Linked DNA regions of Lepisosteus oculatus. The protein of the gene in region 2 interacts with the protein of the main gene of each other region in a pairwise test. Links are inferred from orthologs where the notes say so. Each region holds a gene or a part of one and is shown on either strand. Other genes may lie near its edges. The genes, in order: ctnnd1, kctd6a and grb7.

Region 1 (10,270 bases), on a different chromosome or scaffold from region 2:
GCTGGACTGTATTAACCCCTCTCTCTCTCAGTGCAGTGTCAGCACTCTCTGTAGGGTGTAAAATTAGAATCTATGGTGTACAAGTGCCTGTAATGAACTTGAACAGGGACACTGGGGAAGTCCTAGGGGCTGTTTCAAATTATGTTTCAGAAATACTTCCATCCCAACAGCTTCTACTTTAACCTTCGGTGTCATTGCATTCAGACCTCAGGGAACAAACCCCATGCGGTGAAACTAAGAGGGGCGTATAATCGACCAATTAAAAACAACACCAGCGCGCCGCAGCGGAGCACAGCAAGGAAACACTCCCACAGCACATTCCCCCAGTCCAGGGCCCAGAAGCTGCAGGCTCCCAAGAGCAAACTTTCACAAACTCAGCCCATCGAGCCTGCGGGGCAGTTAATGGCCAACTGGTGCAAAGACTTGTTTCAGCTCCTTGCTGAAAAGCAACAACGTGGCCGTGCAGCTTGATCCACCATCAGTGTACAGAACTGCCTCCTGTCCTGACTGGAGGATCTTATCCAGCTGTACACTGACAGGAGCCCAGATATCGGCTTCAACACCACCACTGGGCAGCTTGTTCCACACTCCCACCACCCTTTGTGTGAAGTTACTCCAGCTCTTAAATTTTAAGGCTCTTCCACTTGTACTCTGATGTGCTGGCCAACAGCAGGTGTTTGAGGGCACTCGCAGAGAATCGCACATCCGTAGCTGCACGAAGCCGATGAAAAGATCCGCAACCTCACCAACCACAGGAAACCACAGTGGGCCAGATTTTGGCTGCTTATCGCTGCAGATCTGCACTATCTACTGCTCTGTCTCTACTCCAGCTGTGCGCATGTACATACAGTGGCTTCTCTGAGGGAAGACGCGCACCAGTGCGGTGTACCAGCAAGCCAGGCCCACGGCTCCTTCCCCGTATGTTTCTCAACGGGCAGGACAAGCCCCGATCACGAGCGCGCACACAGCCCCACCCCCACCTCAGCGCACCGTGCGGAAACCCTGTGAGCAGTCACACCGCCCGGCAAGCTCCGACACGCTCAGGGAGAGGGAATGCACAGATAAAGAGAGACGCAGGGGAGATACTGGAACCGGAGAAAGAGGGGAAAGTATTGAGCACAGCGGCTCGCAGACTGAAAGAATGTTTAGGTAACAAACAAGTGGCAGCCATTTGACTCCTCTTTTTGTCTGGTAGTTAGCTGATCATTGACCTGAGGATCTTGACAGAAACCGGGGTATCGGCTTCTGCAATATGGGTGCTCAGACCTGCTCCACACTCCCACAACCCTCGTGCAAAGCAGCTGCTCCTGTTCGCGGATTCACGCGCACCGCTCCGGAGTTTGCCGCTCGTGTCCTCCGGTTCGCGTTTCGCCGACCGTTCGGAAGCAGCCCCCAGGGGCGAACGCTAAAACCGTCACATTAAAACCCGTGTCCTCTCCGGCACGGCCGTCCGATGAGCTTTCACAGACCGGACCGAACTCAACATCGTGGGGTCTGTACTTCGGGGCCGGCTATCCAGCAGCGGCTCGGGTCCCACAGGTCCAGCGGTCCAGAGAGTCGCTGACCCACCGCGGCTGTGCGAGACCCCTGGAGCAGCAGCAGCGCGGCCCCCTCTGCGCGACTCTCCCGCTGGTCCCTCTGCTCACGAGGCCCCTGGGCGTACAGCACCGCCGAGCCCCACACGGGCCACTGCCGACGATCATGGTTACCGCCGCTGCGTTTCCGGGGCAACAGGGGACCAGGCGCGGCCTGAGGACAGACGGTAACCATGACCGCGAGGGATGGGGTATACCAGCGCCTACGCAGGTGCACCGGGGGGAGCTGCACAACAGCACCCCGAATAGCCAAGGAGCACCCCAAGGAAAGTATCGCGCCCCGCGGGACAGAGGACGCACGCTTGAAGAGCACGAGAAAGCCCTCCCTCACGGGACAGCCACAGCACCGACGCACGGGCAACACCCCGGCTCACCACGGACCTGCCAGCTGACTAGCGCGCCCCGCGGGGAGCTGCCCGGCAGTCCCCACGCCGCTCACAGAGCCGCGGCAAGACCGACCCACGGGCCCCGCCGAGGGGCTGGGAGAGGCTCGCTCACGAGCCGGACCCGTCCACCGCTCCTGGGCCACGCCGAGTCGGGAAGAAGCCCGTCTGCGCGTGCTCACTGCCCCACTGTGTTTTCAGAGCCTTGCCGAGGCCCAGCGGGGGCCCTGAAGGCCAGATCCGCCTGCGGTCATCTCTCCCGCCGAGTCCTGGGTCAGGCCAGGGCTACCCTGACCGACTGAGCCCCACCTGAGATTATAACCTCCGAGCCTCGAGCCTCTTTTAGTCTCAAACAGGGACATAACCCCTCTGTCACCACACTACAGAGAAGGCAGTGCTGCTCTGGAACGCGTCCGGAGAGGAACACCCGAGACACGCCCGGGCTGCAGGGAAAGTCCTGCACTGCCAGGCCGGAGGAAGCAGATCGAGACGGTCTTGAACGGTGCAGACTAGAAGCGGAAACAACACAAACTTTCACAATTTACAAAGGCCCGAGCAACAGGCATTTAAAACCAAAACCAGGAGGCACGTCCTACACAAAGGGTTGTGGGAGTGGGGAACAGGCCACCCGGTGCCGATGTCTCATGCTCCAGCGTTGCTGGACTCGGGGCTTCCCTGTCCCATTGGAACACGGCTCTACTCCTACTGCCAACACTCCTCCTGAAACCTGGCGACACTCACGTTTCACACAACGATGCTGCTGGAATGACTGTCATCCACGCTGGGACCTGACCTGCAGGAATACAGGCCGGGCCAATGAGACCACAACGCCACAGAACTCCGGCAGTGAGAAGCTACAGAGGGAGCATCTCCCACCAGCCAGAATGTGATCAGTCTGACTCCCCCCCCCCCCCCCACAACACACACACAACTCCTCAACGGGGAACCCGGGCCCTCCACCACAACCCCAGACCACATCAGACTGGTTCCACCGGCATCCCTTATCCCCTGGACCTCAAAAACACTTCAACCACCATAATCGCTCCTCTTCAGTGTGTCTGGACTGTATTAACCCCTCTCTCTCAGTGCAGTGTTAATGTCCTGTAGTGTCCAGTCAGTGTGTCTGGACTGTATTAACCCCTCTCTCTCAGTGCAGTGTTAATGTCCTGTAGTGTCCAGTCAGTGTGTCTGGACTGTATTAACCCCTCTCTCTCAGTGCAGTGTTAATGTCCTGTAGTGTCCAGTCAGTGTGTCTGGACTGTATTAACCCCTCTCTCTCAGTGCAGTGTTAATGTCCTGTAGTGTCCAGTCAGTGTGTCTGGACTGTATTAACCCCTCTCTCTCAGTGCAGTGTTAATGTCCTGGAGTGTCCAGTCAGTGTGTCTGGACTGTATTAACCCCTCTCTCTCAGTGCAGTGTTAATATCCAGACTGTACTGTATTAATGAATAGTCAGCACGTTTCACATGAAAACTCAACTCTACTGCGGGACACAAAGATTCAGTTTTCTCCTGCAGACGATTTCAAAATAGCGTTATTGGACTCTGAACCCGGAAACCTAGGCGAGATGACGAGCGAACTACAAACATCTGGCCTCAATAACGAGGCTGCGCAGGGAGCGCAGAGGCCGAGGGACTCTTATCTCGACAGCGAGCGCGCCCCCGCCGGGCCCGGCGCAGGTACAGGTGAGCTGTAATGGCCGCTGCCTGCTGCAGCTCCGCCCCGAACCGGCCCAAACGGCACCGGGCCAGGCTAGCTCCCGCCCTCCCCAGCACAGCTCCAGCGCTCCAGATCCACAGCTGCCCCCCCTCAAAGAACCGCGCGCACCGAAGAATGCGAACGTAAGAGGTCGAGAACTCCCAGCTATCGCGCGCACCGTGCGCGAGCCCGTGGCGAGGGCTGGGGATCCCTCGGGCTGCCGCGAGCCCGGAGGACCCGCGCGGCCTGGCCGGGTCATCGGCGCTTCGCTTCACCCACTCGCGCTCCGGCGGGGTGCGTGCGCGAGCACGTCGCCTCACAGACCCACCGAACCGGTTCGCGAGCCGCCCGCAGCGCCACCGGTGACCGCGGCGAGCTGTGGCGTCACACTCGCGAGTCGGGACATGCTGGGCGGTGTGTGTGGGGGGGGCGGGCGGCAGTTTCGGCTCCAGCATTTCAAAACAAGCAAGTCGAGGGGGGAGCGGCGCCGGCGAGGACACACCTGGCGACCGGGCCCGAACCCCCCCGGCGCTGGTGCCTCCCCACACCCCTGGACCCCCGCAGACCTTTCTGCTCCACCGCCACCCGCGACACCGTCCTGACGCCGTCAGTCAAAACCACAAGAAAACTCCGGCGAAGCGCTGAAACTCCAACTGTAACCGCACACACGGCGGGCCGCCAGGTCCCCGGTACTCCGGCTGCAGCCTGGACACACACACACACGGGGGCAGGACGGGCCGAGCCCTTACCTCACCTGGTCCCGCCGGGCGCGTCGCTGCTGTCCGGCGCCGGAACCGTCGGTCGTCACTGGCTCGCGCTGGGCGTCACGGTCTCTCCCCTCGCGGCGACGTCCCGCTGCACGAGTCCCCCAGTCCGCCACGCTGAGCGAGAGGCAGAGAGACGGCAGGGCTGAGACCGGCGCCCGGGAGCCGCACCTCCCAGTCCCTTCCACAGCCCACACTCAAGCTAGGGAGAGCGCTTTTATTTTGAAGCGGCGAGGTGTCCCAGGGACAGACGGACATCTTCGGGCACTACCAACAGTAGCTTTCTCCCTCCTCCCCCCCACCCACCACCCTCACCGTCGGTTCGCGATAATCCTCCGTCTCCCTCTCGGCATACGTGTTCAAACGGCCGGACACGCCGCCCAGCCGCGCGAGAACGCCGGAGTTGGGGCTCCGCGGTTGCGCAGCGAGTTTCTGTGTGGAAGTGGGCCTCTGGAAAAGAGGACTCGGGCGCCGCAACCACACGAAAGCTGGGGCTCGTTACAAAAATAACTAGACAGCGGGCAACAGCGTTCAAGTTAGCAAAGAAAAGACGAAAATCTCCACAGCGGAGAGACGGCGCAGATTTGCTTTTAGGGAAAAAAAGGGGGGGGCAGAGAAACTTCGGACCGTCAGGAGCTGTTCCTCCTGCGCGTCTCTTCCTTTGTGTCTGCCTTTTTTTAAAAAAATAAATAAACCCGTCCCCCCGACCCGGTGCGAGAGGAGACGTGCGCCTGCGAGAGCCGCCCGCGGCCCCGACTCGCCCCGGCCGCTCGAGCGGAGCCTGCCGGGACGGGGCTCGAGCCAGCCAGCCAGCCAGCCCGAGCCGCTCAGTCTCGTGCGCCCCGACTCCCAGGCACTTCCGACATCCACCCGCCGCCGCCGCCGCTGAGACCTACCTAGGAGCCGTCCTCTCCCGCACGCCGAAATCCTATCCCGGGGAGGACTCGAGTGTGCCTGTGTGTGTGTGTGTACGCTTGGCCGTGTCTCCCGGGGCCGTGCGTGAGTGCGTGTCCCGGGCCTGAGCGCTGCCGGGGCTGCTCCGAGTCTGTCTCTCTCTCTCTCTCACGGTTTTTCCCCGCCGCCGAATTCGGGCGTCTGACTGTACCGACTCCGCTCCGCGACTACATGGGTGTGGACACCCCAGCCAGAAAAGGAAGCAAGCGAGGAAGAAAGAAAGAAAACAAAAAAAAAGGACTATCCCCTCCCTCTTTTTCCCCACCTCTCTTTCTCTGTCCGTGTTCCCGTCTTTCCGCTGCTCCGTGTCCCTGTCGACTCTCCCTGTTAAAGTTGGAGCCCGTGAATCTCGCGCAGCAGGGCTGGGAGGGGGATGTGTACAGGGGTTACCGTAACGACCGGGGTAGGTGGACACCCTAAAACCGGAGCGCGCCCGGAGGCTCGTCTGTCCCCCCCGCTAGCGCCTGGGCCTCCTCTCAAGTGTCATTAACGTATACCCTATTTAGAAATACAGAACAGCAGCCCAGATGTTCATTTTGTTTGATAGTTTTGATGACGTATTTCTTGCATACATGTTCATCTTAATAGAGAGGTTGGAAGTGGAACCAGAATTGTTTGCGAGTTCCCAGGACTGAATAAGAATCATCATTATCATAATAATAATAATACGTACAGGATCTGTGTTTCTGCTTTTATTCCATACGCTTGGAATATAAGAAAACAGACTCATGAGCTCATTGTTTAGAGGTGTGCGCATACCCCGTGTACTACGGTACCCCCCAGGGCGCGGCAGCTGGGAGCGGCTCCCAGTCCAATGGGATCCTCCCATCATTCTTTCGGGAAGAGAGGAGGAAGATTAGCCCGAAAAAAAAAAGGGAGGGGTGTGGAGCCGACCAATAGCTAAGGCGCTTTTTTTTATCCGACGTGTTGCGTTCCCTCGCCCTGCTCACGAGCAGGCTCGGCGAGCTCCAGTCAGGAAGTTGCGCCCTGGTCCTTTAATTAAGCGCAGACAATTACAGCCCGCGGTCCGGGGCGTGTCGAGCGCAGTCGGCGAGAGTTCACGAGCGCCACACGGCGGGCGGGCGGAAGTCTGGCTGCGCGGGGTCAAAGAGCGCGTGTGGCGATATGCAAATGAGCGCCTCGGCCCCTTGTTCTCGGTCAACACGCCGGAGCCCGACCCGCCGGCGCTTTCACCTCCCCAGTTTCAGGGTGTGCGCTCACGCCTGCCCCGGGAGGAGTGTGTGTAGCTTGCAGCGTCTCAGGGAGGTGAGGCACTGTGCTGTAGCAGCAGCCCTCCCTCAGGTGAGCAGTTTAGCTGTGATCAGGTGGGGTCCTCTTCTGGTCTGTGGCTTTTCATCATCACCTGTAACAGAGATAAATGAATGGTGCTGATTAGCGTTGGTCATGCACAGGCTTGTTCAACAGGCTCTGCTGTGAGAAGCCGGATTGTGGGATTGTGTCTCCTTTCCTACAGTCTGGACAAGCGTGTGTCTGTTCACTGGTCTCTGAGCCCCAGTGCTACCTGTTGTCCCAGATTATCCCACAGGTGTCCACTGGGGCTCCAGTGCACAGCATCTCTGTCACTCTCTGCTCTCTCAGGACAGGTGTCCACTGGGGCTCCAGTGCACAGCATCTCTGTCACTCTCTGCTCTCTCAGGACAGGTGTCCACTGGGGCTCCAGTGCACAGCATCTCTGTCACTCTCTGCTCTCTCAGGACAGGTGTCCACTGGGGCTCCAGTGCACAGCATCACTGTCACACTGCTCTCTCTCAGGACAGGTGTCCACTAGGGCTCCAGTCCACAGCTTCACTGTCACAGTGCTCTCTAAGGACAGGTGTCCACTGGGGCTCCAGTCCACAGCTTCACTGTCACTCTGCTCTCTCAGGACAGGTGTCCACTGGGGCTCCAGTCCACAGCATCACTGTCACAATCTCTGTGCCTCTGTTTCTCAGTTTATATGGTCTGCCCTGTAGTTTCCACCTGTGTCCTCTGGTTCCTGTTTCCCTGTAGATCCTGACGAGCTCCGCTGGGCTGACTTTGTCAATATATTTTAATTTTTTTCATTTACTTGAATCAAGTTCCCTTATAGTCTTCCCCATTCAAAACTAAAGAGATTCAGTTCATTGTCCTCACAATTTGGAACAACAAAGAAATTGGATTGATATTTTTCCCTATCTGCACGTACATTGAATATCATCTGCCAGGTGTTTACCCTGTTCTGACGTCTATTTAAATCCTTTTTAATTGAATTTGGGAGCTTCTGCAGTGTCCGCTAATCCCCCTAATTAGGCATGATTTTACTGCATTGATCTGTGTGCAAGTGTCTCGATTGTTTTTACCACGTTTCATGGTAAAAAGCAATGATGTGTCATGAAAGGTGCTATATCCAATGCAGATCAGATGCCACAACAATGGAGCAAACCTTTTAGTAGTTGGCTTTGGAAGCCAAATCACAACCTGTTTAATTGGCTCCGCGGTTCAGAGCAAAACCCAGGAGACAACAGGTGATGAGTCTGAGAGCCCATCTTTCCTGGGGTCCAGTGCTTAGTGACACTCCCTCTCCCTCTGTCTCCCTCTCGTCCCTCATCCTGCGGCCTACTCACAGAGGCCTAAGCTTCTTCAGAAAGTCCAACAAGTTCCTGGCGATACAGGAGCAAAAGTAAGCAGAGCGTGTTGGCGTGGACTTGTGAAGGTCCTGCGCTACAGCCACGGGCGCCGTGTGAGGCCGGATTGTTTCTGTGTGCGGAGCTCAGCCCCCTCGGGGGAGAAGTCGGCCAGGGTGATGTCATCCTTCATGGAACAGGCACACAAAGGAAAGGGGAAGTGGAATTGTTTAGAAACGGAAATTATTAACATTCCACAATCCCGAGGCCCAGCCGCAGACCGCCGTGACCGCTCGTCACGCGCTGGCCTGGACGCGCACGGCACATCACGGCGACCCGCTCGGAGCGCGAGGGACTGGCCGCCGACCGCAGCGCCGCACCGATACGGAGGTCATCGCCGGCCCCCTGTGTCCGCAGGGGCGGGGGGGGGGTCAGGCTCAGACCGTGAGAACATAAGAACTGTTAACTAGCAAGGCCAGGCCCTTCAGCGCGTTGGGTTAGTAGTTAAATGATCTGAGAAGCTCATCCAGCTCGCTCCACACTCCCACCACCCTTTGTGTAAAGCAGTGCCTCCTGTCCTGACTGGAGGATCTCAGGGTATGAGTTCCTTCAGCCTGTCAGTGTAGAACTTTCCCACAGGTCCTGGAATGGATCCCTGATGAGTACTAAAAAGAAATCAGGGCCATAGCCCTGAGGAATGTTGATTTGTTTGATACACGGCTGGAAAAATAATAAGATCACTTTAGTGGCCATATACAATTTATTGCATTAGGAATTTGGCTTTTCACATACCCCAGCTTGCTCTCCATGAGACACACAGACAGGGAGAGAAGCTGGGGGTCAGAGCGCAGGGTCAGCCATTTATACAGCACCCCTGGAGTAGCTGGGGTTAAGGGCCTTGCTCAGGGGCCCAACAGAGTAGGAGTCCTCTGCCAGCTGTGGGATTTGAGCCAGCAACCTTCCACAGGCACAGATCCTCAGCCACAGAGCCACTGCTCCACCCCAGGGAATTAACTAGTAGCCATCTGACATCTACCAATTTGTCGGAGCAGAGGTGATTTAAAAACAACTCCCGATACTTTTCTCATACCGGATGGCCGTTTATTTACGTCTGTAACAACTGTATTTTAAGTATCGGAAGAAATGACAGATCATTCTCTCACGATGTTGCAGGAAAACGAGTCAACATGAGTCACGGAGCTCATTGACACCTGTCCGCACAGGCTCCTCCTGTGTGATGTCAGAGGTAATCTAAAACACACTGCAGCAGGGAACCCGGTCACGGTCCAGCCCGCTCCGCTCCAGGGCTTCGGCACACCCAGCAGCCGGACAATTACAGACAAGGGCATAAGGCAGCAGCTGAATACGAAAAAATGCTGAAATACTCAACAGTCCGATATTAATGAACACGTGTGTGTGACAGAGAAGTTTATTCTCCACTTCCTCCTCCCACTACCACTACTCATAGTGACACACCCTATACAGATAGCACGGCAACTCGGCGTTTAACAGCAATCACGCTGAGGTAACTCCGTGAAGTTGACCCCCCCTCCAAACAGCACAAACGGTGAAACCCACCTCATTCGTTTGTGCCGGTTAGTAGCGTCTAGTAGAAAGCAGCGTCTGTGCTGCTTTCGTTTCCGAGATATAGCGCCCTGTTTCTTCGGGGTCGTGACGTCACTCAGCCCCTCTACAATGTCGTAGGGAAACCAAACCGGTCCCATTCGTTAGTACTACGTTTATGCCGGTTTGTGCCGTTGAAAGTAACTTCCCAGCTTCTTTCTTTCCCGAGATATAGCGCCTTCTTTGGGGGGGGTGACGTCACTCAGCCCTCCTACAATGTCGTAGGGGAACCGGACCGATCTCAATCGTTAGTGCTGCGTTTGTGCCGGTTTGTGCCGTTGAAAGTAACTTCCCAGCTGCTTCCCAGCTTCCCAGAACATGTACAGATACATGCTCCACCTGTATGAGTTAAGCACGAAGACCTTCTAAAATTTCTCCTGTAAACAAATTACAAGGTTTGAAATGCATGAACAACATTAAGATAAAATATTGAAGGAGAGATGCGAGTGTGCATTTTACAGATAACTATTCGATATCGCCTCTAAATGACCTGCAGTATTTTTAAGTAAACGACGTTTACAGAGCTAAAATACATCCAAAGTATGTATTTGACGCTTTTATTAGCAGACCATTCTTGCACTTAAAGGTACGATTAATTGGTTAGCACTGTAAATGGACTATAACAATTCAGTGTAAAGTCTTGTGGGAAGT
Region 2 (10,270 bases):
GTCATATTCTGGGATTCACATCCTGAGTTGCCATTAACAAAGGAACAGGGCTTTTGTTTGTGATGAAACAAAGTAAAATAAATAATACAGTGTAAACACACATTTAAAGCAAATTGTCTTCAGTTATATAACTTTCAGTACACTGGTTAAGTGCTTAAGCCAGTGTCTATACAACCAAAGACATATTTGTACTTGTAAGAAAAGTGCTGAAAGTGCTCTGTTACTTAAACATGCTCAATGTGGTCATGTTTATTCCCCCATCACTACAAACTCATTCAACTGGGGTGCCCAAATCCAGAAAAACACTTAGAAGTTCTGTCACTTATTCATAGAACTTGTGCAAGCCTTTCCTTTCCTCGCACAAATATTCAAAACGATCAGGAATTTTCTCTATAGGAAGGTTTTCAGCCCGATACATATTTTACATTCCATGAAATGTATTCCACGACACCATTTGTGAACCCAAACAGCCTGTGGTGAAGATACCATTATCATTCTGAACATCTATTATCATTTACCTGGTGAGACAGCCACATGAATCAAATCAGATCACTGCCTTTACGCAGAGCCCTGAGATTTTTGCTAATTTATAAAATACCATTAAACTAAATCAAACATCTGAAACGAAAAGGCAAAATATTGCAAAAAAAATCAATCTTACATAATCAGCAAATACAGTTTTTTAATAATGGGATGTTTATATGAAAATGTTTTGATTGCTATCATTAGCACAGTATTAACCAAAGGAAAACAAAACCTTTTCTAGCAGTCAGGAAATATACACATACTTTGGAGATTGCCAGGACTCCGATTCAAACCTGTGGCCTACTGAAGAGGCTAAAACGTTAAGAGCTTACAGCAATCCTGATGTGTGAGCAAGCCATTATCAAGACTAAAGAATGCAATGAAAAGACAATGCCTAAAACCTGTATAACAACTGCCCAGTAAGGTGAGGAAATCGATCATGACGGAGAGACTTTCATTGAGAACTGCAAGTCAAACAGAAGCCAAAGAACCCTTTAAATATAGTGTAAATTTTAGAGGATGCAAACAGGAATATTTGTGTGAATTAAGTAACAGCTTCAATTATCCATGGATCATGCTGGAAAACCAGCATGGCAGTTTGTGATCGATTCCTTCTTTTTGAACGAATCGTTTCAGTGAATCCCACTAACAACAAGTCCCTGGATGAATCATTTATTTGATTCTCCAAGTCCTTCGGCTCAGTGAGACGAATCATTGAGCAATGCCAGTCAACACAGAAAATGATTCAGTGTCCAGAGAACAGAAGGAGGAACTTGGAGACTTGAGCTGAATTAAATACAGTACATTTTAAGCATTTATAAACTGTCAAACTCACTAAAACACACTTGGCCCTTGTATTAATGAAGTAGGAGGATTTCAGGGCTGTGTATCAAGAACATATTTTTCTGAATAAAGAAGGCTTTATTGATTTAACTTTCCAAAAATTCCTAAATTATATCAGACAACAACAATAATAAACTCTGGATACATGACAAATGCATGCTTTGCCTGTTTTAAAGTCTCTGTAATGTATACATTATCACATCCCCAGCTGTGAACAAAATATGCCCTAGAGTAGGTAAATAACAAAATGTGATATCTTGTTGCTATTTAATTCATTTTCTTCTATCATTCCACTTTAAAGAATTAATGGATAACAGATTTGAACTGGTGTGTTCAGAAATGAGACTTGTCATCTTACCATTATCATTTACTATTAATTATTTATCAATAATTTATTTTTGCCTCAACTTCAGAGTGTTTTATAAATAAACATTGTATGTTAACCCCGCAAATGACAGTAACAAACAGGTTAAACACTTACATGGTCCATATATCCTCTAGGATGTTCATAAAAATATAATCTTGTCTCTCAAACTACATGCAATATCCACTTGGTAGAAGGAAAACTACCAATTACAGACTACCAATCTTACATAACATCTTATTTCCTATTTAGTTTTGCCAATGATTAACCCTTGTTTCAGTAATTATTCTCTAAATATGGTATTCTGTGGCATTGTATAAAATATGACCTTCTACAAGCAGAATACAAAACAAATGTAGGATCTGGGCAAAAACTACTGCATTTAATTACTGAATCATTTACTGGAATCAATTACTGAATTCGAATAGCTAGCTCCTGTCTACATTGTGATGAGAAAGTGGAAATGCTGTTATGCCACTGTAAATGAAATAATAACAAGCTGCAAGACAGACATTCACATAACACATTTACCCCCAAATACATTGACATTTGAGCTCACGGGACACTCCAGTGCGTAAAAACTGTTAGAACACTGCTGCTAAGATTTTTACCCTTTTCTTCAGGTGTTGGTCCGCATTTGGTTATAATGGCCAATAATGACCTCCCAGACTGAGCTGAGCACAGCCTACAGCACTGTCAGACCTCGGCCCATTTGAAAAAGCGGTCCTAAAGCCGTTTTATGTGCTGTCATTCTGGCTCCTCCCTCCCGGGTGTCCCCTTACATTTGACCCTTCAGATTGTCCCCGTCGCTAAGTCTGTTGCTGTCAGTCTTGCCCTTCCCTTCAAAGCGGCCACAGGCAGTATTCCAGACACAGAGTGTCTCCATACTTCTGTTGAGCAGTCTGCAACTTACATTACCTCCATCCTTCCACTTTCTGAGCCCTTTTTCCCCCAACACAAGGTGGCGGGGAAGCCAGAGCCTATCCCAGCAAGCAGTGGGCGCAGGGCAGGGCACACCCTGGACGGGGTACAAGTGCATCGCAGGGCACAGACAAACTCGCACCAGGGCCAGTTCTGCCAGAATCGACCTACCAGGTTGGGTTTATGGATTGAGGGTGGAAAAACCACAAGAACATGGGAAAAACCCACAAACTTCACGCAGATAGCACCCCAGGAATTGAACGCAGGACCCCAGCGCTGTGATACAGCAGCCATGGTTACCTCCTCATGCTGATTTCAGTGTAAGAAAGGTCATAGGTGTCAGCTATTTATGGTTCTGATCTGAGGCTGTCTTGCCCAAGTAGTGTCTAATTTTCTACAAAAGAGAGCTCTGTATCTTCACACCCACCTGGACCAACTGGCCCACAGACTGTCTGGCTCTCCCACGACTTGCATATTTTCAGCCGAGCCCTGTATTTAGCTTTTCAAATATACTCCACGGCGCATCATTGACATACAGTGTTACATATTATAAAGTAGCAATTTACTGCTCTTAATCTGGGTTTCTAAATATAAACAGCAATGTTTTTTGGGAAAGCCATTTTTTTTGTTAAAGCCACATCAGAACAAGGCAGCCACTCAAGTTACACAGCTGCAATCATGCTCAGACCCTACAGCTACATCTGGAGAATGAGCACTGTTGTTTGCACAAGTGCCAAAACACCAGAGGGCTGAACATCCAAACTAAATGAGTACAGCAGAAGTCTATTTTATTCCCTCACACAACTCTGGAAATTACTCAGAGCAGAAAACATTGCTGTGCAGAAGAATTATGTTTCCTTCAATCAATCTGGACTACACTGTAGATTAACTAGACATCAGAGACACTATTAATTTTAGAAGTATTTGAACCATCAGGAATTGCTATTTTTTAATGTCTACTAAAAAAAAAATCTCTACAATTGCAAAGCAATATATTATGATTTAACACACTGTAAATGAGTAGAAAGATTAGAACGCCCACATGGAATAATTAACACTGAAACACGGTTAATTTGTTCATAACAAAAAATTCCAGCACACGCCAGCAGAGATGTTCAAGTACAAAACTGTTTGTGAGCCAGAATTCACTCTATTTATTTGTCCACATGCGAGTTTACATTGAACGATTTCTCAAAGGAATGGACATGCTATGGCAGCATGATTCTGGACCAAAGCCCTGCCGTGCCTTCAGCGAGACTGTTTTATAAGGTTTGGGTTAGTCAGCTGTGATGACTACAAGAAAAGAACCCAGCGATAACCCACAACACCAGCACCACTAAGATCAGCGAAAACACCAGGGGAAGACCAGGACTTTTTGTCCTGGAGCGCACACAAAAAAATAAAATAATTCCTTTTAAAAACACAAATTTAAGCATAGACTGTGAGAAGCCTTGGAAGTACCTTTTTCAAATTGGCAATATGCGTTTGCTACCAATATTTTTCCCGGTTAACAAAACAGCGTCTTTAGATCGTCCTCACATCCAGTTGTTCACCAGGGATGACTGCACAACAATTCAAACCCTCTCACAGACGCAAGGAAGGATCGTCGATTTATTGCATAGGCTCTAAACCAAAACTTCTCAGGTATAATATGTTTCTACCATTTCGCTACATCTATATATAATACTAATGAAAAACATGTATAGTATATTATATCTCCATCCATCTCTTCAGTGTAACACTCACCCAGATGACCCATAGAGGCAATTATGTTTTAGAAGCCAGGTGGAGAAAATGAGAAATTAATTGTATTAATTTACATGGCATACGTTTTTAACAATCAATTATCTAGCATTGCTGCATATGAACATTGGATACCCTTACAATTATGCAGGTGAGTTTGTTGAAGCAGTCTGGGTGATCTATCACGCCCATAAATAATAATTAATAATCAGTCTAAAATGTCTCTTAGAAATATAATCAGTATTACCAACTGACCAAAAGGGCGAATTGCCATATAAACTGTCACAATAAAAAGTGTGAATGATTCCTTTGCTAAAAATGTAACTCAAGCATGAGTACTTGAATATCCAGACACTAAGATGGCAAAGCAAGGACTTCACCATACGGAATAGTCATGAATCCAAATACAATTGTTTAACAGAAGGATTGACATTAATAATCAAGGTGAAATTCAATACAATAGGACTTAAGTTCCCAAAGTAGGCGTTTGTGCTACAAAACACTGGATCATTTACTTTCACAACACTGCTTTCTTTCGCTTTGTTGCGTTACAGGTCAATAGTCTACAAAGATTGTTTTAGCCTTTCTGGCCATGAAGCTACAGGTAAGCCCTGAGGCATACTGTAATGAAGAGCTTTATTAGCTTTAAGGTCTGATAAGTAACAGATTTGCATACATCAAAGGCACTGACTAGACTCTCTGATCTGCGGTTTTAAAAGCCGTTCACCGGCCCTGAAAAGTCAAAGCAGAACGGAGAAGAAAGAGCAGCACCAAAGTCCACACAGTTCAGCCTGGTCAGTGCTCAAAATACGTTTTAAAAAAATCGGTGCTTAAAGGGCAAAGTCAGAAATCAATCCAAGCACCATCAGACCAGTCTGTTGCTGTGCAAAAAAATGAAAGCTTTATAATATCTCCATCATGTCACTCTGCAATTGCAGCCTTCTTTTTTAAGAAATATAGCTGTGTTGGACTTGGTTTCCTCTGTTTTAAAAAGATTTATTTTCTGAAAAAGTAACACAGAGGACACCAGAAATGGCAAACTGAATGCTAGTGAGCCTCCAATGGAGCCATACTCTGTGGTATAAATTCTCCTTTATCCTTAAGGGCAGCCAACATGGAGCTTGCATTCAAAGTCCCGTTGCAGGTACTTGCACCCTTGCACAACATACTCTTCTGGGAAGCTAACCTGTATCCATCCAGTGAACGTGCCCTCTGTTTACACTAGAAATCAGGATTGACTCCAGTTCTAGTCATGGTGGACTTTAATATAATTTTCACACTTAACCATAAGGGGAACATTCAGAATTAATCACTCACTCACCATGTACCCCCAGTCTCCATTATCCATCTGCTCCAACGCTTGGCTCCTTCCCCAGGGACGGAGATGTCGGGCTGAATATTTTTGGTTTCCCCCGTGTAATGCCTCCGTCTTTGTGCTGTTCGCCTGCACCAGCGAAAAACGTAATTATTCGACTAAAGTTGATTCTTAACGGATTTTTTTATCCCTCTCGAGTATTCATGCATAGGTTAAATGGAATGGATGATTCACATACAGACGATCGTCTGTTTTGTTATCCCGTTAACAGACATTACCTGCAACGTGTAGGCAAACGCGCAAATATTATAGGACATTAAAATAGGAGAATGGGTTTGGAATCTATCGCCATGTCGCCCTGCCATGCAAAAGTGAAACTGGAATATTGCATGAATAATTATTAAGCGCGGACATGGTGAAAGTTGTCTGAAGGTTTGACTGCACATTCAAGCTAAGGGTATTCGCTATACTGGATGTGACACGACATGGATAATAAATGATCCACGGATCTGGACATATAAAAATGATCGATTAATCGCATAATGCAATGTAATAGTGGATACTGTATTGGTTTGGTTTTGCTCTGCAGACCACTTTTGAAAACTGTAAAGATGCCGATGCAACGTAACCTCCGCAGGGACAGCTGCAAAGCAAATCATTAAGTCATTAAGCAAGGGGATCTTTTTATCTCACGCTGTGTCAATTAAACAGGCGAAACGTTCACGCAGAGCCGCGTTTCCATCCTTACCCGTTTGTTGACCCGTGATATTTGTCCTCCCAAAATAAGGGAAACGACACTTTGCACCGATTTCCGCGAAGTTGGACTTGGAAGCCTGAATGAAGCAGTGTTACTCCGCCTGTTCCACTGCAGCAACAGAAGAGGGACGAGCAATTACTTTCTCTACGTCTTTTATCGGGTATTCTTCTGCTTCCAGAGGGAGCTCAGGAAGTGTTGCTCATAAAAAAGAGAAAATCCAAGCACATTCGAAGCGCTTTCGGAGGAATGCGTTTAGCGTTCTCTATTTCGCCAAGTAACATCTAAGGTACGGAAGGAACCGGAAACGTGGTGTCTGTTATTGTGCAGCACGTCACCACTAATATTCTTCCACTTGATAGGCTACGGAGAAGTTCCGATGAAAATGCACATTTAAGTAGGAGCGTTGGAGGCTAAACGTGTTTAACAAAAAAAAAGCAGTAAACAAATTTCGCTTTTTATTTCCTATGCATTAACAAAAGTACTATTTTTCATTAGCATGATTTGTGGAAAAAAAAAGCGTTGAATTCGTAATGTAGCTTGTCTCCATACCCTTTAGTCTATTCCTGCTTTCATCTGAAATTGTGTAGGAGGCAGAATGAGCTCATCAGCACAGCAGCTAAGCAACCGTTAACATTACCGGGAAAACGTCAGAGGAATTTACTTTGGGATTGATAGGGGGGAGGTAGGATGTATCTCCCCATTATGATTTAAGCTACTGGTCGTGGTGGAAGTTTCCACTTGCCATCTTATTAAAAACTGAAATGGTTCACAACAACCTTCATTCAATCCTTTCTCTCTTGGGGCCCAAAGATCCACTTTTAATGACAGCCAAGGTGGGACTATTTCTCAGGTGTCATTTCAGTCTACTTGTCTTCCTGCCACATTTTCCAAGATCAGCTTAAAATATACATGCAACTTTATAACACTCATTGGGCATTTCATGACGTTTTCCCCAATGCTGCCTTTTTCTGAAAAGGCAATATAATAGCATATAGTTGGTCTCACTGCACCTTTGTACAACAAATAGAGTAGTTGGGTGCTTTATTAAAAAAGGACTCCAATGGAAAGATCACTTGTAGTTTGGACACAATATAAGGCTTTAAAGTGAAAGTAACAGCTCTTTCATACTTGAACATGTAAGTATATTAAGCTAAATAGAATTGACAGCCACCTGTGAATACAGTTCATTTAAACCTTTAGAGGTCTCTCAAACCATGGCAGAAGGATTACTATTACACCTGCCAAGAAGATAATTAGTGAAGTGTTGCTTGTTCAGGGGCATACCTGTATATTGTTAAATCTTGCACCACTCTGGTATGAGAATGAAGTACCCATTCACACGGCTTTCAGAGCCACAAGTACGGAGGTTAAACCAGCCAACATAACCTTAACAAGTACTTCATCTCCTAGTATTTCACCAATTACAAGAAGTCTGTAGAACTTGGATTACTTTTAAAATCCAAGTTAAGCAACATGCACTGGTGCCTGCTTGAACATGTACACATGCTGCAGGCTAAAACACCTTTATCACCTCATTTGTGCAGAGCCAATACCTTCCAGGAACTTGGACCCAAAATGAAAATTGCCCCCCCAACAAAAGGACAGTTTCTATTGCACATGGCCACATTTTAACATTATGCTTTGTCAAGTTCTAGCTGTAAATTGTGACATTTGCCTTTGTAATTAAAGCTTCACAATAGTGGTGAAATAACTTGTTGAAAGTACCCCCCACCCCAAGGCACACCTTGAAGCATTTTCAGAACAAACATACTCTAGACCTTGTTCTCTAGTATCACTGGACCCACTTAATAAAACAAAAGGAAGCCATGTGGAGCATTAACATCTTTTAATTTGATTTTTCCCCATATTGTTCAAGATTTTAGTTTGCCAGCACCACACCTTTAACCTGTGCGCTTAAATAGTTTAAGGAGAAAAAGATAGATATGGTGCAAGAAAACACTGAAGACTCCAGGTTTTGAACCCAAAATGGCACAGAAGCAAGAGTACAGATTGAATCCATACAAAAGGACATACCAGGACTGTTTAAAACTGTCCTTTCTGCATATTACAAGATGTTCTTTTTGAAAGAACAGAAGAACAAGATGTACTAAGTGCTAGTGTCACCAAAACAATGCAAAGATGAAGTCTGTCACTGTACTTAGACATTCAGGGTCTTTTTCACTGCAAATATTATGTCTTTTATCTGAGGTACACTGTGGTCCTCCAAGATCTTGGCATAGGGCATGGGGATGTCTACCCCCGTTACTCGGCTGGCAGGAGCATCCAAGTAGTTGAAGGCCGGACCTGAAGGGAAAAAAAAAAGTTGAGCACATTCAATTATACAGAACTGTACAGTTGGCAGCTTTGATTAAGTTGGAGCTAACATGGCTGCACAATGCTGGACACATCTTCAAAGCCCAAGTAAAACTGCAACTCTGCTTGAAAAAAAAAATTCCATGGTACCAACTCGCCAACTTCAAACCCCTAAATTGAGGGCCGTTCCCCTCACCAAGCCACCCATATGCTTCTATGCAAGACCCAGGTGGCTGCAGTTACCACTAAAAGCAGCATTGACACTTTGGAATTAAGTTTGATCACATTGGATCCAAGGTGGAAACATCTTTAGGATGGCGAAATGGCAAAAGATTCATTCATGCTTCCAAAAAGAAATTTGGCAACTTGTTTCAGACATTAGCCAGGGGAGAGAGTCTAAACTTGCCTTCATCTGGAGTGTACATCTGGCACAATGGCCATACCCAATTATTTTGTTTGCAACTAAAAAGCTACAACATGCTAATTCTTGCCAAGTGACTCCCTTCTAGGATAAAGGGTGGCTCAATTTCCTCACAGAAATACACAAACTGCAGTTCTGGGTTTACTCAGGACATGTAGCCCCACATTTAGAGTGGTCAAAAAAAAAAAAACACATGCTACTTTTAAGATCCCTATAGAGAAATGAAACATCCACACCATGTTTTGCATTGTAGGAATGCATGAGCAAGTTACCTTCCATGATCCTGGCACAAACTTCAGCTCCCACTCCAAACTGTGGCCATCCCCCCTCTACAGTCACTAGATGGCTGGTCTTCTTCACACTGTTTTCAACAGTCTCCATATCCAGAGGTCTAATGCTGCGAAGGTTAATGACCTGGAGAGACCATTACAGTAGATCACTTACTGTTCTCTTAACATGTAGCTTCAGTAATTGCTCCCCACCAAGATCCCTTTTTGGGGCAGGGAGGGGGCTGGAGACACTTTGCTACAACACCTGTACATCTGCTATTTTCATACCCACTGGTCAAAGCACCACCATGCCTTACAAGAGGCAGACACCAAGACCATCTTTAACTCCGTGAGCATATCACAGCTGAGGACTAGGGTTCAGCAATGGCCACATCTTCCCTAGGCTTAAGAGGGCAACATGAAATTTGGAATTAAGTAGATCTTTAAATCCACCACTAACTTGAGTTCCACATTTCACAGAGGAGACCTTGAAATGGCAGGAGATGTTTGTAGAACACCAAGTCTAGAGTGTATGCAGTTAAGACCTTACTGGCTTTCATGTAGTCAAAGCATGGATGGCTTACCTCACACTCAATACCTTCTTTTGCCAAAACGGCTGCAGCTTCCAAACAATGACCCACATACCGAGAGTGTGAAACTAGTGTAACGTTAGATCCTGAGGGGGAAAAAAAACTAGATTAATTCAGTCTACCAAAATCTTCAAACCCTGGGTAAGGAATACAGGACTGCCAATTCTATTAAACTTTAGAACATGCAATTAGACCAGTTTTAGATTTTA
Region 3 (10,270 bases), on a different chromosome or scaffold from region 2:
AGCTCAGTCATTACTCTGAATTCACAAAACCACACATGTGGGATCTTGTTCAATGGTTTGAATATGATACAAATAATCCTAATAAAAAATAGACCACCTGTTAAGCTCTTTGTTTTTTACAAATCACTGTATAGTCTTTAAAAATTAGAAGGAAAATGGGTTTCCTATACAAGTGCAAAAAGGTCCTATTAGAGCATATAAAGAAATGGAATCCAATTCATTTACTCCCCATTCCTGTCCAGTGTGCTGAAATATGAGACTCATAAAGTCCATTTTCTGCTTACTAAAAGGCATGTCTAAAGAATTTTTGTATCTTCAACCTTGGATGCTCTAAGAGGGACACTTATTGGTGTAAACGGCTAGACAGTTGTATTTCATTGACAAAAAAACACCAAACCTGTATATAAATAACACAACTCAAGAATCCTCTTCTTCCTGGCCATTTACTACTTTAGATTTAATTTGTCAACTATAATGTAGCCATAGTGAAAGAAAAACAGTGATATTTTTTATCTGTAAATCATTATAAATATATAAACATTTAACTAGGCAGATTAATTTACCCTTTTTCGAATGTGAAGCTTTAAGTTTAAAAAAAATCTGTAAACATTGACATGCAAAAACAAAGATCTACATATGTATTTTTTTTCTTGAACTTTCCCTTTGGTTTTTAGTTTTGTTTTTTTTTAACCATCTTGTAACTCATCTGAGAAATGCACTATAATAAAGAGATCTCTATTACAATCAGTTGTATCATTCAAGTCATTTAGCTTTGTATTTCTTGCTAGCGAGCTAGCAGTTTCACAGGGAGCCAGTCTGGATCCTGTAGGATGGGGCTTTCATGTGGGAGGTGTGGTGGCACTGGTCAGCATCGGTGCCTTGAAGCCCTGGGTTCAGTTCCAGACCTGGGGAGCCGTCTGTGCGGAATTTGTTCTCTCCGTGTGCGTGTGTTTCCTCACAGTCCAGAGCTCTGACATGAGTGTGTGCGTGTGCCCTGTGGTGGGTTGGTGTGCCATCCTGCTGCTTGCCGGGATAGGCTCTGGCACCACCAAACCCCACAGCCCTGAATCGGAAGAAGTGGGAGAAGATGGATATTTGGGAATTATATGTGAATGCAGATTAATTTGAGTGATCACATGGGTCACAAATTTCTGGATATAGTGAAGCCTTAAGTAGTTTTCTAAGTGCCCCGCCCCCCCCACAACAAAGTTTTGTCCCTTATTTCATCCAAGAAATGCTTCGATACTGAGAGGCTGACACGAGAGTCTGAATGCAACAATGCTGTGCAGATACAAAAAAAAAACCACTCCAGTGATGCTCATAACGTGTGTCAAGGGGATTTCTTTAGAAACCCGTAAAAAAAGATGCAGTTTTAATTAACGCAAGGACGACGGGGGCGTACCCTGTTTGAATGAAGACCAGCCGGTTTCTACAGGCATCGTTGAAGGCAACCTGTAAGAAACACATCAGGATCTGGAAGACCGGTTTACAGCACCGCGCCAGGGCCGTCACCTCAATGCCTGACCACACAGGACCGCACTGTCGGGAGATCTGGAGTCTGCACTGAGACCGCACCTGTGCAGGAAGAGCAGCAGTGTCAGCCTACAGGCTGGTCAGGTATATCGGCTGCCAGGACGGTGTTCATTAATTCTGTAACGTCTTCATGGGGATAGCGTGACGTGTTAGATTGAAAACCCGTAACTTAAAAAAATAATAATTCTGGTCGTATTTCCTGTGATTTTGTTCGATATCTAAATTATTTTATTTCTGTTTCTTAAATCCATTAGTCCAGAATTGACTTTATTTTGTGCGTTTATAGAATTAAAAAAAAAACTATCTCGGAAATTCAGCTAATACTATCGACCTTGGCGTTTTGTCAGATCCCTGAATGATGCCCCCCGTTGTTAAGAGCACAGCCCCCGGGACGTGTCTGTAGCTTTGTCTCCCTCTACTGGAATTTCTTTGATCGGTATTTCACCAGGTCAAGGTTTGAGCTTTGAGGTTTGGTCAAATTGATCTATCAAGCGCGTCTGCCTGGTGTAACTCGCGCTTCGTGTCGCGAGTTCAGCGTCGCCTCCTGCTCTAGAACCTGAATTACACGAGCGATTCGGTCTCTGTTGACCGAGACATTTAAAAAAATATATATATTTGTCGTTTCTCGCTCGCTAATATAAAAAAAACGCTAGGCAGCGATGCTGTCGGCTGTCTAATAAACGGATCATGGACATTTCAGGAAAATCGAGAGATTTCGACAGCAATCGACAGTCTTTGTGACTGCATAATCATATAAGATAAGACATTAACAGAGCCTTTGATGTTACTGACAAAGTCTTCAAACGGCGGAACTCGAGTGCAGTAGCGCGCAGTGAAAACCTGCCACACCTGAGGAGACCTGTGGGCTCCTCTGGGGCCCATCGTGACCCTGACACGCATCGTCTTTTTAAACGTAGACATTTGATCACTGATTTTAATGTCACTGGCTGTTTACTCAGAATCCCACTACATTTTAAAGTGCACTGCTTTCAGTTTACAATTTGGAACTTAAGTAGCCCTGGATAAAAAAACAACAACAACAGTATTCATATTACAGGCTCTCACTGGACGAAAATTACGGGATGTCCTGTCTGCTCTCCTGTTGCCGACTGCAGTTTTGGGAGCTGTTAATCAGCCTCATCTAGAGACAGTGATCAGTCCTTGTGGATACCAGTGTAGGACAACGTTTTCCTGCGTTACCGAGCACGTAAAAAAACTGGTTCCGGAAGCGTTCCTGCATCGACAGAATGCCTTTAGGAGTATTCCTTCTACACTCAATAACCAGAAAGTCATGTAGACCTTCATTCATGGAGTTACCGAGTGCATGTTATGCTCTAAGAATGATCAATGACGAGATCGCTGTGGTTTGTGAGACAGCAATCTCTTCTGCACCGTGTCGTGAGACTATTTTCCTTTACAATAAATCGTTGGCTTCCAAATTAAAACGATGACACTACCTTATTGAAAGGAGTTATTTAATATATATATTTTAAAAGGCTTCAGCTGCGGAATCGTGCATTAAATAAATCTTGCTGTCTCCTGACTCGGGGAGTTCGCGGTTTGCGGGACAGACAATTTCCTCTGCAGGAGTGCAGTTCGTCTGTTTTCATCCCGGGCGCAGTTAAACGTTCACGTTGTAATACGAATCACAATCGCGTCCTGACCCGAGAGTACCTGCCGCACACCTCATGTTACTGAGATACCGTCTGCAGCTGACGGGTAAATCACAGTAAAATGGGAGCTCTTAATTAGAAGAGTTAGTGCGCCACAGGGACGCGCTGTCTTTTCTTTTTTTTTTAAGAAAAGCGACTCCCAGGGTTGAGAATTGACTAGAAAAAACCGTCTTGGTCAAACTTCCGGAGTGGAGTGGAAGTGTGCCCATGAACCCGCACGGATGATAGCACCCTCCCCACATCACGACCCGCTTACGGGCGGCCGCCGGGGCCGGGACGGGGTCCGGTGCCGAGAGCGCGCACCCCCACCTGTCCTCGCGGGGGGGGGGCGCGCGCGCGCAGTGGCCCAGCTCACCTTGCAGGTGAGCTCAAATCCGGGGCTCCTCCCGCCAGGGCCGGAGCGCCCTTGAGCGGTGACGACAGCGGGAGAGGCCGTGTGAGCGACAGGCGGTTGTTGAGTGAGGAACAGGATCTCCCGGTTGTAGGTAATTATTATTTCCACCGTCTGCTCCGGCAGCCTTTCTCACGTTTTTCCACGGGGTAAGTTCAAGTTCTTGAAAGCGGAGGGAACAAACGTGCGTCATGTATGTTGTTTCTCGGTTCTGTTTTCTAGGACGTTACGGGAGTTCGTCAGCTGCTGCTAGGCTGTGTTTGAGCTTTAAATGGGACAGTAAGATGCTGTTAGCTGACGAGAGAGCGTATCTCCTTTCTTCCTTGTAGGAGACAATGAGAACTTGAGATGGCGTACTATCCTATCCGTTTTTTTTACTCGCGTCTTGGCTTCAAATTAGCTGTTTTCTTCTCGTTTCTGTGTCATTTTGACTGCGGGCTTCTGTGGTGATCTGCTGTCTTTTAAATCCTTGGTTACAATGACTCAGGGCTGCACCGACCGGTCAAGTGTTAGATTCGAAGTGCTCCACACAGGGATAAACTCGTATTTTAATCCTTAGAGTTGTGGACGTTTTTTTTCTCTCTCCTTTAATCTGTGTTTTTGGAGCCTTCATGCTGTTTCCTTAGCGGTAGCTTGTCGATGTACGGAGAAGAGATGCACGCTGTGAAAGCATGCCTCTACAGATTCAAACTCTTGATGCAAAAAAAAAATCCTTGATCAGAGTAGAACAGACAAGTTTAGGTAGGGGTGTACCTCTTTGTCAAAGTTTAATTGCAGTGTTTTAAAGTGATTTGAGAGGCCCGTCTATTGGAAAAGTTAAATAAAAATTCCAACTGTTTGATGGCTTTTGAATTTGAAATCCACTTAAAGCTATAAAAAGGTGGAAACCAATCCAGAAGGAGGTTTTTTACCCGGTTGCTTGCATGTTCGTGTGCCTGAAGAGACGAGCTTGTGGAACCTACCAGAAGTGAGCTGTTCTGAAAGCAGAAAGGGACAGAAAGATTAAGAACAGGCCATCCGTGAGCAGCGAGTGGGAGAACTCTGGGGAGGAAGCACGCAGAAGTGATTAGATGCCAGCCGTTGGTGGCTGCGCACTTGAAGCGATTAAGGGCGTAAAGGTAAGAGGCAAAGCGAAACGTTGTGAAGCAGAGAACAGATGTCTTCTGCTGAAAGCATGGTGGGGTTCCTGAGCAAGCTGCCCATCCTTCTTGCTCGAGGGAACACCCTGGCCTGCTCGGAGAAGCAGATGGATGAAATCACGGTGTCACTCTCCTGCTCGCAGCTGTCCTTGCTGGATGGGCAGAAGGGCCTCATCGCTGTAACGTTTCTTTTCTTCCTGCAAGAGGAAGGCCGCTCCGTAACGCACGGTGAGCGGGCCGTCTTCACGCGGTTGTGCTTGCAGGCGCCTAAGGGAACGTCGAATGTTAAAACGTCCTGCATAAACGGGACATTGCTTCAAGTGCTGCCTTCACCTGCCCCCAGAGGGGTCCCCGTTCAGTCCTGCCTTGAGCAGCGAGGTTGTGCCCTTTGTGTTCGGCGCTGCTTTCGAGGTGCAGGCTGAGGGGGGGGCGAGCTTTCATCCCGGTCCGTGGCGCGCGCCGAAGCTGTCGACACAGGTGTGTGTTTTTGATCCCCAAGGAAGGCACGTGCCGGAGTGCCAAGATGAAGGCCCAGAGCTCGCAGCTGTCCAAGGAACGGATGCTTCCCGAGTCCTTGGCCTTGAAAATGTGCTCTTCTTTCAGGTTTCTTCAAAGGAAACTTTGAACTTTAACTGTCCTGAAGCACAAGTGCAGTTTACGTTGTTTTTTTTTTTTTTTAAACGAAGACACCGTGCATAAGTCTTGGGATTTTGTCTGCTCCCACGAAATAGGTCAGAGGCCCAGTCTGATTTCTTCAGGTTCCTGTGCTGTGGAAGGTGTCTTCAGTTAGTGTACAGCTGATTTCTCATCTGGTCAATGGTTGTCTGATCTCCCAGCTCTCTGTCTAGCTCCTCTCGCATTGCGTGAGTGACATGGGGGGCAGTCGATGTGTCAGTGGGCCGAGGCGCTAGGCCAGCCAGCCGGGCTGCTCTCTCTCTCGCTCGCCCGACTCTTCCTGCTGCTGCATGCTGCATGCTCGTCCATTTTCTGAACGTTGTGCTCTCCATCCTCATTCTGCAGCCCACTTGCATCTGAAAACGAGTGCGTACAGCTGCACATTGTAAATCTGTATTCAAATCCATACTTTTTAGATCTGACTGTTCTCATCATTGTGCTTTAAAACCAGATCAGGAGAAACTATGTTACACAAATTGTTGTGTGAGTTGGGAATGAACTACCCAGACGTGTTGATACTGATACTCTGGCTTCTTTTAAGAGCCAATTGGTAGAGTGCCTCAGATCAGCTATTCGCAGCCATATGATTTTGATAGGGAAGATGGACCCCTCTCATTTGTAACCTAACTTATGTTCTTACAGAGGGCCGTAACAGGTTGACCACTTTGAGTGGAATCTGGCAAGGACATTTCTGGACCTTCTAAGGACAGGATAACCAGAAGACATGAGAATCTCTTCACCCCAAGTCTGAAAATTGTTAATATTCTCTGACTATATTAGAAGTGGATCTGTTAGTCTGAATCTTTGAATATAAGATAAGATCACTTTATTGGCCATATACAATTTATTGAAGTAGGAATTGGTCTTTTTTTGCCCCAACTTGCTCTCCATGAGACACACAGACAAAGAGAAGCTTGGGGTCAGAGTGCAGGGTCAGCCGTTTATACGGCGCCCCTGGAGCAGTTGGGCCCCTGAGCAAGGCCCTTAACCCCAACGGAGTAGGATTCCTCTGCTGGTTGCAGGGTTCGTACCGGCAACCTTCCAGCCACAGGTGCAGATCCTTAGCCCCAGAACATACAGTAGCATTATTTGCAGATAAACCTGAAACCAAATTTGGGGTACATGTTGAGAGGGGTTTCTTGAGAAGGGGTCCCCCAGCCAGGAAATGTTGCCCACCCCTGTCCTTGAGGTTGTGTGGAGGGAGTGTTTTCTGCATGAGGCAGGCTGGGAGTTTCAGCGAGGCGTGCTGATAGTGAGTCAGTGGCCAGGGGTGAGTGAGAGTGCATTGTCTTAGTCTAAGCCATGTTTCATGTCCACACAAAGAGCAGGTTGTACAGCAACAGCTGCTGTCGATTCCACACAACTGAGCTCATCGCACGTACTGATGACGGCAAACAGAAATGACTAAAAAAACACCTCTGCTGTTGCAAAACTATTATTTCCCTTAAGTCAACCTTGCACCTGAAGTGTAAATACAATATTAAATTACTGATGCCAGTAATTACCAGTAAATTATTCTTACTCACTTCAGTGACTGGAAAGAATGCTCTTTGTCACAGTAATTATTAAGTTTCAGTTACTGAACAAATAAAGTTAAGCAGTCTTAAAACAAAAAAACAAGCTTCTGTAATCTTGGTGTCTCCTGGTGATTTCTCAGTGTTAACTGGGGTAACAAGCTGCTACACTAGCAGGAAATTCCCTAAGGCAAATTAAAGTATTCCAGCAGTAGAAATCTATTGTCATCATATCGTGCGTGAATTTATACTCTTGTGTGGGGGTGGTTTTTGGGGGCCTGCTGTGTTTGCTGAAAATTCCAGAGTGTAACATGGAAAGCATTTTTTGCTGTTTTATGACTGAGAAAACAAATTACCCTTTTTGGAAGATCCTGCAACACTTCGTTGTTCTTTTTATTTTTAAAGAAAGTTAATTAGTTAAGAGTGGTTGAGGTTTTGATATATGTCTGCGGAAGAGTAAATTCGTTGCAGTCTGTAATAAGTTGGGGGGGGGAACCCAGTTTCTTCAGTCCACTTTAGGTTAGTGCAGTTGTGATGGTCCCCCTGCAGAGTGCAGCAAAGGGTGATGAGGCTGTATTGCTGGACTGTGCAGAGAGATGTGCCTGAAGGCAGCTGTCCAGCAGAAACCACGACCAGTGCCACTAGACACTTTAACACTCGTTGTCGGTAAATGCACTTTTATACTTACAAAAACCTCTCTTTGTGCTCCGAGGCTACGGCTGCTGGTTCTGCTTGCCAGTGACAGGGCAGAGGAGGAGATGTTGTGCCTTTGCCTTGTCCGTATTGCTCCAGCCCCTGCTTTTGTAGTTTACTCCTCAAAGCACTCTGAACACGGACCACCCTGCAGCCCTGCACCAGAAGCATGAGGGAGCTTAGCGCTGGCAATGCGTGGATCACATTTGTGGAATAAAAATAGCGTATGAATAACGTCAGCACAAGTGTTAAGACCATCAAGTTCAGGCAGAGCATGGAGAAGACTGGGGGGGTCTGTGCACGTGGTGCTATAAAGAGCAGACAAAGGTCACTCAACCTTCCATGTTGTGCTGTGAGGCATGGGGAGAAATCGCTCTGAACCCCCCCCTGGCACTGCGAGGCCTGGTGAAATCGAGGTAACCTGAGGACAGGGGTGAAAGCTGAAACTGGTGCTGTTGTCATCATTGCGCTCATGACACATTAACAATAACAGGCTGGTGTATCTCGGGAAGCGGGGCAGAATTAAAAATAGATGCCATTTGCTCCTAGTATCTATTTGTTCCCGAAAGCACGTGGTGTTCCGGCAGCGGAGTCTAGAGAAAAGCAGCTCGTGCCAGTGCAGCGCAGCAGACCTGTCCAGACTGTGACGAGCAACATGCCCTACAGTTTCTGCTGCAACAAGGTGCCGGGCGCTTCAGGGCAGTTCTCTCAACGCCTCCTTTTTTTATAATGGACCGGCAAGGTGAATGTCGGGCTCCAGAGTGAAAACTGCAGAAAAGGTAGGATGACTCCAATGTTTAGAGCTCGGTCTTCCTTAGTGTATGGTGACAAGTTCTATACTTTCATTTATGCATACATGTTGCAATAGCATTCAAGAGTAAAACAGCGTAGTGCCTTATTCATTAACATTAAGGAGCTTACTCTTTTTGAGTAAGAACTGCAAGGGAGACATGTTTAATGTTGTTCTGCCCTTGCAAAGCTGTGCTGTGACCTGTTGATTCTCCACTGTGACACTGCTCAGGTGAGCCGTCTTGGTAGTGCTGCGTCTGTTGTTTTCAGTGGTGTGGCCTGGCTGTGGTACAAGACTTCTTAGATGGGCAGGAAAAACTCAGACGAGTTGCAGGCTACAGGTGTCCAAAGAACCTTGCGACCATCTGCAAGAAGCCTTTGGATTTCTGAATGGTTTGAGAAGGGAGAGAGATGATGATCCTGCTGGTCAGTGAGCCAAAAGGTGTGTTTTTGTTGGGCATCTGACCAATCGCCTTACTCATCTAGCTGTCCTGTCACTCAAAAGGTCAGTCGGTCACTTCACGTGAATCACTGAGTGCCGATAATCCTTGATTTGCTGTGTCACTGCTGCCTGTGGTTCAGGCTGCTTTCTGAACCCTACACGTTTCACAGAAGACCCCTTAAAAGCAGAGCTTCCCTGAGACTCTGCCTCCCTTGCGTACTTGCCTAGTTTTCTTACTCGGCAGTGTCCCCTTCTATACAGCATCACCATCGCTTCGTCTTTCCCACGCTTTTAAAAAGTTGTGTGTTTGGGATCTAGAATGTGTCATGGGTGCTGCTGATAAAGATTCCCTGCAGAGTTTTTGGTGCAGGTTAAAGGGGAGCTGCAAAGCTCTTTTCATATCTGGGGGTTAGAAAGAATCAGCATTGAGTACATTTCAAACCACAATAAAACTAAAATGTACACAGTGACTTGTAAAACCTCCACTTTACATCCCAAAACAGATGAAAGTCCCAGGTATGTGCAGCGCCATGTTCTGTGATTCAGAACGAAGTTGTAGACAACCAGGCTTGTGAATACATCTCTTTTAATCCAGCAGAAGTATTGTTTTCTATTTCATCATGGTTTTGCCTAAAAATACTACTTGGTTGTTAACCCTGCATGCAGATCACGTTGGAAGATTCTTGTGGTGAAATGCCTGCTGTTTTATTCTCTCGTACGTCACGTTAGTCGTTATGATTCAGCCCTGCCTGCCCGTGTCGCTGGTCGAGGGAACTCGAATGCGATCTTGCGACTTGGCGACTTGCAGTACTTTCACAAAATTCCCGATAATAGGCTTAATTTGAAATTTGTAGGTTTTACTATAACGTCAATGAATTTAGTTTAAAGCAATGTAATAACCAGTCTGAGCAGCTGGGCCTGTGGTTTCTCTCTAAGTGTTATTTGCACAAGTTTCTAATAGTGGGTGACAGATCAGCCCGTTTCATGGAACCGAGTGGCTGCAGAGAAACGTCACCACATATAGTTCAGGGTAGCGAACAGCTAAGGCAGTGACTGTCGAAGCCCCCCCCTCGTCTTCGGTCCCTGCCGATAGATGAGGGCGGTTGTTAGCTTTTCTTTCTCCTGTAAACTGCACGTTGGGGAGACCTTGGTACGCTCAGGCCGCAAGGTTTCGCAAGTCGCCCCGTGCGGCTCATACCTTCTCAAACACGAGCCTGTATAAAAAACAGGCTTGGTCCCCAGCAGTGTTAGCACAGTCTGGAACGAACAATGGCTCTTTGTGGAGACAGGAAGCATAATACTCTTCTCGGCTACCCTGCTCCAGTTCCAGGAACTTGTCATCCAAGCATTACAGCAATTGCCTCACGTTAGCTTACCTAATCTAGGCAATTTGTTTTGTTTCAAGACCATGCAAACTGCTC

Evidence for each region.
Region 1: the proteins of kctd6a (region 2) and ctnnd1 interact in binary tests that used the Homo sapiens proteins (3 or more experiments, as listed by UniProt). The two-hybrid records come from large-scale screens. The link is inferred for Lepisosteus oculatus from reciprocal best matches to the Homo sapiens genes KCTD6 and CTNND1.
Region 3: the proteins of kctd6a (region 2) and grb7 interact in binary tests that used the Homo sapiens proteins (3 or more experiments, as listed by UniProt). The two-hybrid records come from large-scale screens. The link is inferred for Lepisosteus oculatus from reciprocal best matches to the Homo sapiens genes KCTD6 and GRB7.

The regions. Positions count from the first base shown.
Region 1 is NC_090701.1:41,499,159-41,509,428, reverse strand, and holds the start of ctnnd1 (catenin delta-1), read right to left. Parts: upstream 5,210-10,270; 5' UTR 4,793-5,209; coding exon 4,755-4,792; intron 4,557-4,754; coding exon 4,430-4,556; exon of another isoform or gene 4,425-4,429; intron 1-4,424. UniProt on the Homo sapiens protein: Key regulator of cell-cell adhesion that associates with and regulates the cell adhesion properties of both C-, E- and N-cadherins, being critical for their surface stability.
Region 2 is NC_090699.1:56,361,162-56,371,431, forward strand, and holds the start of kctd6a (BTB/POZ domain-containing protein KCTD6), read right to left. Parts: upstream 7,117-10,270; 5' UTR 6,460-7,116; intron 5,841-6,459; 5' UTR 5,745-5,840; coding exon 5,718-5,744; intron 1-5,717. Other genes in the region: pdhb (pyruvate dehydrogenase E1 component subunit beta, mitochondrial), read right to left, coding at 8,627-8,772, 9,475-9,616, 10,056-10,147. UniProt on the Homo sapiens protein: Probable substrate-specific adapter of a BCR (BTB-CUL3-RBX1) E3 ubiquitin-protein ligase complex mediating the ubiquitination and subsequent proteasomal degradation of target proteins.
Region 3 is NC_090723.1:3,854,529-3,864,798, forward strand, and holds the start of grb7 (growth factor receptor-bound protein 7), read left to right. Parts: upstream 1-4,023; 5' UTR 4,024-4,715; intron 4,716-5,947; exon of another isoform or gene 5,948-8,187; 5' UTR 8,188-8,397; intron 8,398-8,677; 5' UTR 8,678-8,818; coding exon 8,819-8,849; intron 8,850-10,270. UniProt on the Homo sapiens protein: Adapter protein that interacts with the cytoplasmic domain of numerous receptor kinases and modulates down-stream signaling. Promotes activation of down-stream protein kinases, including STAT3, AKT1, MAPK1 and/or MAPK3. Promotes activation of HRAS.